Linked DNA regions of Arabidopsis thaliana. The protein of the gene in region 1 interacts with the protein of each later gene in a pairwise test. Each region holds a gene or a part of one and is shown on either strand. Other genes may lie near its edges.

Region 1 (3,754 bases):
CACAAGATTTCCACCATCTCTTGCAGCAAGCATACCCAATTCACTCAGAGATTTAACTCCCAGCGTAATCATGCTCACCAAATTACCCACAGCGTTGCCTTCCTCCATCCTTGCCTTTCCTACATGTCCACTCGTCTTCATTTCACTTACCTCACGATTCACTGTTTGAGAGTATTCTTTGCACAGACGAACAGTAGAATCAATTACCACTTGCACAGCCTTAAAAATCTCCGAGGAAAAGGATTCGACTTTCTGTCTCATAGAAAGGTGAAAGTTATTAACAGATGACAACAAGGCAAAACAATAATCTCAAGTTGATTCTCAACCTACAGTAGTAATTTCAACAAAACAAATGTTAAAAATGTTTCATGATATGGTACGTGTAGTTACTAGCGAAAGATAAAGATGATTTTCAAAGATACCTTGGAATTCATTATCAACTCCTTTGTCAAATTGAGCTGCTCTGAAACAAACTTATGAACTGTAACAGCTGAGGCATCATCAGTCATGAAACAAGTTTTTCCAATAGCAGTAAAGCTTGAGGCAGAAAAACGAAGATAATCCAAAAGAAGCTGCATAACATTGATTGAATAACTCAGTCCCTTCGAAACCATAAGCTGCGACAGAATCCTACTTCCAGAACCAAAAAGCATCAAATAACCTGAAAGAAAATGTTGGAATGCTCTTCCTCTTGAGACTCCTCCATGGACATAACAGACATGTTTAAATGTTTGGCACACCATTGGCTTACCTAGAAGAAGTGGAATAAGAAAAGATAATACAACACCCCTCCAAAATTGAGGTTGAGCAGTAAGCAATAAAAATGAAAACATTGTACCTTAATAGCAAAAGCAAGAAAGTAGTGTGAGCAATCAGGCCGATCCAAAGCGAGGTATTTTGAAGCCACAGGCAGAATCGCCTTGTTCAACAAACACAGGGAAACGTCAAGACATGTGAAATCTTCCCAGAGTGTCTATACAGCTGTCAAGGAATACTTGGAAACAAACAAACAAACCACTTAAAGCATATATGAATCCAAGTGAAACATGCAAATAAGCAGATATAAGTTCGTCACTTCATTATCCTGAATCCAACCGTCACATAATGGATATCCACATCTCAATTTTAAACATAGTATAACTGAAGATATTGAAAATCAGCAAAACTGATGAAAAGACTGGGGATACAGTTAGGCTCTCCACAAAAGAAGGCAAATCAGAATTCTCTTCAACATCTAACTGACTGAGCCGCGTGAGTAATTGAGCCCGATTCTCGATAAGCTGTTGAGCGAACAATGAAGAAAACGAAGCTCGTTAGATCCATGAGCTACAGAACTCAACTGAATCCTAATCACTCTATATATACATTAAGCTGCAGAAACTTAATCGGAAGGGAAATTGATAAGAAACATCACAAAACCCAAAGCAATCAGAAGAAATTTCTCGATTTAACAGAGAGGATTCGTAGAAATGACTACCGGAAGCGATAAAATCCACCAGAAGATTTTAGTTGGAAAAAATATACAGAAACCTAGAAAATCAAATCAAAGGTGGAAATCAAAGAGAAGCTTACATCAGAAGATTTGATCTCTTCGAGTAACTTCATCGCATTCTTCTCCATCACTCACTCTTTCTCTCTCTCTCTACAGGGAAATTTTGTTTTGGCAGTGTGAGAATCTCTCTCTAGGCTTTAGCTTCCCGCTCTTTACATTTCGCCTATATTGGAAATTTTCTCTGCCTTTCGCTTTTCAATTTTTGATTTATTAAACAAAAACAAATTAAAAAAAATGGAATATAAAAGATATTTTGAGGCCCGTTGGATCTAATTGGGCTTTGTAAGTAGCTCAATTTTCACTCGATGATTTTCAATTCGGTCCACCATTAAAATTGAAACCCATATCAAATCCTTAACAAAATTATTAAAAAAAATACCACAAACACCAACCAGTTCAGTTTTCTTTTCTATTTTTTTTGGGTTTTGCTTTTTTTACTACAATATTTTTAATGATTACAAAATTATAAATTGTGATTAATTTTACTAGCTAATATATATGTATATATATACAAATGCAAACGAATAAAAATTTGAAGGGTGTATGTATACGTCGTAATAAATTGCATGAGATGTAAATTTAGAGGTTGTGACAGCGAAATAGACAATAGAGAGGACGATGCATGAAATGGGACAACAAGTGTTTGACATGCAAATCCTATCTTCTTTAATTTGTGTCCCTCTCATCCCAACGCAATTATTACGTCATTTATTAGTGCTTCCTTTTTGTGGATTCTTGCTGTCTTCCTCCCACAATTAATGTATTTTTCCTATATATTTTGGATTAATATACACTAGATCATTTGCAAAGAAATTTCCAACCATGATGAACCATGCATAGTAATTAGTAAATAGGCGTTATTTATAGGGGTAGTACAATCTCAAGTTCTGAACAAATGTTCATTGTTACGTCCATCTTAAATATGTAAATTAAAAGTATGAGTTCAAACATTTCATACGAAATTACGAATCATATGTGTCAGTGTGTAGTAGATGGCTGAATGCATTATTGTGATCATCAACGAGGAAGTGTGTAGTAGATGGCTGAATGCAATATTGCGATCATCAACGAGGAAAATAATCCGGATATACCAATATCCAATGTTTTGGTTAGTTTTATAATATATTAATCTTCTATATAGTTAACCTTTGGTTAATAGATTAACATTTTTACTCAATTTTACTATATATTAATTCGTTTCTAATGATTATCGAAGGACTTTTTGAACCAAAACTCATATGTCTTCTCTTAGTCGAGATCTTTCAAAACCCTTGACCAAACTCATATATATATATATATATATATATATATATATGTTAATTTTACGGGTTTTACCACTTGGATATATATACTAACTTTTTTTTTTTTTTACTATATACTAACTTTGATATCCGACTTATTTAGAGTTAGACAGTGCAACAAAAACGAAATCTATACACTTTTTACATGTAATGTATATATAGTGGAAAAAGTTTGTACTCCATCCATTTTTGAGTGATGTTTTCATATTTTAAATATCATTACAAGTTCAAACCAATTTCATTTTCAAAAAATATCTCGTCGGAAACCTTGATAATTCCTCTTAATTAAAAATTTGTCTTTGAACATGCAAAAGTATGGAAGAAGAGAACCTCCTAAACCAAAACGATTCAAACATAGAGAGTCGCACATTTCATAACACCACGGCCGAAATCAAAGCAAACGTTACAAAAGCCCAAACTAGAAAATAGATCAAAAGTCACCCTAATGATCACAGAATTAAAAGACCAACAATAACATCGAAACTAATTAATTATTCCTTAATTAAAACCCTAACCAACAAATACTCTCTATTAAGGATGTGGATCGATCACACCACCGACCACGCCGTGTCCACCACCGATACCACCACCAACACCAATACCACCAGCCTTACCGAGACCACCAACTCCACCTAAACCACCTCCGGCTCCGCCTAGACCACCTAAACCGCCAATACCACCGGCTTTACCAATACCACCGCCAACACCACCTACACCGCCTAAACCAGCTCCACCTAGACCGCCAACGCCACCTAGACCACCAACACCCCCTCCAACACCGCCTAGACCGCCAACACCTCCTCCGACACCGCCTAGACCGCCAACACCGCCTATACTATGAAATCCACCGATTCCAGCTGCACCGCCTATGCCACCATACTTACCGATCCCGCCAAGACCA
Region 2 (3,754 bases), on another chromosome or scaffold:
TATGATTTATAAGGATAACCAAAACCCAAAATTATTGAAAAAAAGAGATTGAAAAAATAGTTTTTTGAGTTAATAGTCGATGGAAACTATTTTGGGTACAAAAGAGGAAACCAACATACAAAAATGGTCACCGAACCTGCAAAAGTACATTGTTCATATGGACAATACAAAATGGATACCACAACATTGGAAATAGAAGCATATAATGAATTTTTTGGTGTTCAATTAATCTATATTGGATCATACACTTGAAATGGTTCATTTGATATGAATACTTTGGCATTGACGAGACGTTAAATACTCAAAAAGCCATATAATTTGACAGCAAACTTAGAGACAAGTTCAAGTAAAGTACGAGAGGAAGGTAAAAAGAAACGTGTCCAAATATCGTTGTCCACAAAGCTCTGTTCATTTAACACTGCTAGATCTTCTCGATTGGATTTTAAGTTTTAAATACAAGTCAAAGTTTGATTTTAAATACCAAACATCTCAAGATATAACATAAACAATCACAAGTTCAAGGGACTAATCTCTTCACCGGTGCGAAAGTTTAATAAACACACAATTATCAATAGTCAATCTCGTTTCATTATCTTTAATCATGTTACGAGAATGGTGAGTCCATAACACAATCCGTTACACAACCGTCAATTACAATTTCAAATACTAATTTGTCCATAACATATCCATGATAACAAGTCCACATAAATTTGTTCACATAAACGTCGCTTTATGGAAATATAACATAGATTTCAGCTAAACAAGGAATCATTTCCTCTAAATGTTTCCTAATAACATAATCTCACAAGAGATGGAGGTTTCGATTTCAATGGAGACATTCCAGCGATTGAAGCAAACTAGTAGAAAACTTTGTCAAATTCCAACTCCTAAATATCACCAGCCATGCTTAACACCAAATTTAGCCCAGCTCGAGAAAAAAAATTGTTGAAAGTGAGACTTACGTGAGGAAGATAGATAAGCTGAAAGAAGAATCTTAATCTTTGGTACAAGGTTCGTATTCAAGTCGAGATTCTTGAGCGATCTTGGTAGCTTCTCTTCCATAGTATTCAGTGCAAGATTTATGATCGCCGAAGATTCGAATCGAGGAATATTTGCGGACGCCATATCAAATTGGATAAACCAAAGAATATAGAACCCAACATCACATAACTTTACCTTAGTAATTCAAGAACTTTTTCTCGAAATCTACTCAATTGAAGTTGAATTAGAGTAACGAAATCCAAATCCATTAAAGAGGAGATTGATATCCCCTCGCCGAAGTCACAAGGGTATAAAGTGGTTGAGATTACGAAATCGATTATTGGAGTTTTACGGTGGAGAGAAGAAGAAAGAAAGTAGTGTAAACCGTAGTGGTGGTAGACAGTAACGGAGGAGATTGATATCCCGTCGTCGGAGTCACCTTTTCTGAAACTGTAGTTTAGGTTTTTTCTGGATTTGTTTTTTTTTACAGTTCCGGAAAAAATAAAACAAGAGATTATGGTAACTGCAAAATCAAAATCGTGGGTTTCGTAACCGGAATTGGTTTAATGAAAATGGGTTTGATTTGTTTGGTTATATATAACCGACGATTTGAGGGTAAACAAGTAATTGCAATTAGTCAAAGTGCCTAATGATTTTTAAGTGCCTAATATTCTCTATGTAAAAATATAAAAAATAAAGACGAAAGTTTAGAGGAAGCATATCCGAAACACAGTAAAACCCAAAATACAGACAATAACGGGCTTACTATTGCCCATGAAGAAACTGGGCCCGATAAGCAACTGATTTCTAAGGAAACTACACGCCGTTTCTATCTACACTATTACACTGCATGACGTTCTACGCGTCAAGCTGGTGAGAGAGTAAAGGAATGTGTGGGTCGGTGGTTTCAGATTCTGAGCGCGAATTTGAATTTCATTTCTGGGGTTTTGGGCATTTGGGGAAAGAGGAAGAGAGGATAATGGCGGGAAAGCGTTCGTCGCCGTTTTCTTCTCCGTTACTGAGACCACCACCGGAGTTTCTGAATGTGAAGGAGGAAGGAGAAACGGAGACGCCGTGTTGGAGAAAGGAAGTGGATGAGAACTTGAAGCGTCTCCAATCGCTGCTCTTCGGCGCCGACAAATTCCTGGAGAAATCTGATTTCTCTTCTGCTCAGATCCTTGGGCTTCGTCTTCTAGGTTTCCTCGATTCTCGTTCTGTCACTGACGCCGATCGTGATTTCATTGGTCCCATTCGTCGTGAAGTTGCCTCTAAGATTGATTTAGCTTTGGAAGGCCTCGTTTCAGATTCGGATCGGTACCTGAGCTTTTCCCCTTTGAGCCTGTTTAATTTCGAAGAAGAGAGGGTTCGAATTTTACTTGCTTAGCTTAGTAGAGTCTTATGAGTGTGGCTTGAATTGTTGGGTATTGGAATCAGGGAAATGTATAACTGAGTGATATTCTCTAATCTTTGGACTTCGTTCACTTAGTTACTAGCTGAAATCTAAAGATCTTTTTGAATTATCGTCAATATTAGCTACACTTGAGATTTTTAGAGTACCCTTTTATGGTGTGCTTCTTGTTGTATCCAGGAAGGCGTTTGAGCTTGCAAATACAGCTCCAGGGGCAATTTTTGGCAGCAAAGGTGGATTTGATGTGGAAAAGATTAAGCAGTCTAAGTACTTTGGTTTTCATGTCAGTCAATCTAACGGAAAGGGTGTTAAAGAGATGGTAATGCTCTTGTAAACTGCTTCATTTCTTCAATGATCTTAGTATTGGTGATGAGTTTTGGAAACACAGCCATGTTATATGTCTTGCTTCCTGTTTCTACTATGATTTCATAGATGTTTTCTTGTTTCAGGAAGAACGGCATGATACGGATAAGTTGATTCCCAAAGCACCAAAGTCAATGATGCAAGCCAAACTGACATCATTGTATGGAAACAGTATTGGTAAACCAGATAATCAGCGCAAAACTTCAGTGAACAATCAAGACCGTGCCTCTGATGAATGTGTCATTGTTGAGAGAAGTCATGGATTTGGTTTTGGAACAAAGCGACCTCATGCAGAAACCAGTAGCCTTGCAAATGATGGGGAAGTAAAGGAAGATGGAGCTCCTAATGGATTTGTATCCGCCAAAATAAAACTGGTAGATTTATTCATGACAATTACTTCTCTTAGAGTCATCTTGACTTTGCAGAGTCTTTTCTTTCGAACTGTGCTTTATTACCCTTTGCTAATGTTGACTACTATATCTGTTGCTTTAGGAAATGGATGTAAGACAAAAACGAGGATCAACTGAGTCACCAAGTTCATGTCTTTCTCCACAGAGTGACAAAAATGCTTTAGGTAGGGGCTATGGTTCAAGGTCGGGTGGATTAAGACGTGGATACCGTAGTAATTTTGTCCCTCCTGTTAAAACTAATGGGAATAATGTTGGAAACTTGACGTCTCGTATTGGTGGAAAGACTGACGATGCACTGGATGACTCAACCAGAACATGGTTAGTTGCGTAATTTCTTATTTTGATTCAAGATCCTTAGCAAACTGGAAAGCACATGCACCCTTTTTATATCCTCACCTTCGACAATAAATAAGCTTATGTAATCTGTTTTTCTTGTCAATATTTCTTGATTTTCACCTAGATAGGCTATGCCTGTCTCTGCCCTTCTCTAACTAAGTTTCTATATTAAACATTTTTTGAATTTATTTCACATTGAAACACTATGAAAAGTAAATAAAAAATAGTATATGCATGTCAATAGGACTAGCAATTT

The links. Proteins that work in one complex are often made in the same cells at the same time.
Region 2: the proteins of AT1G04650 (region 1) and AT3G27120 interact in a two-hybrid assay, tested with the Arabidopsis thaliana proteins (one study listed by BioGRID).

The regions. Positions count from the first base shown.
Region 1 is NC_003070.9:1,297,284-1,301,037, forward strand, and holds the start of AT1G04650 (holliday junction resolvase), read right to left. Parts: upstream 1,741-3,754; 5' UTR 1,621-1,740; coding exon 1,573-1,620; intron 1,281-1,572; coding exon 1,188-1,280; intron 974-1,187; coding exon 839-973; intron 801-838; exon of another isoform or gene 752-800; coding exon 662-751; intron 573-661; coding exon 423-572; intron 253-422; coding exon 1-252. Other genes in the region: AT1G04660 (glycine-rich protein), read right to left, coding at 3,385-3,754.
Region 2 is NC_003074.8:10,002,398-10,006,151, reverse strand, and holds the start of AT3G27120 (P-loop containing nucleoside triphosphate hydrolases superfamily protein), read left to right. Parts: upstream 1-1,845; 5' UTR 1,846-1,870; coding exon 1,871-2,295; intron 2,296-2,569; coding exon 2,570-2,708; intron 2,709-2,838; coding exon 2,839-3,126; intron 3,127-3,244; coding exon 3,245-3,480; intron 3,481-3,754. UniProt on the Arabidopsis thaliana protein: Involved in DNA double-strand break (DBS) repair via homologous recombination (HR). Limits class II meiotic crossover (CO) formation by regulating the invasion step of meiotic HR.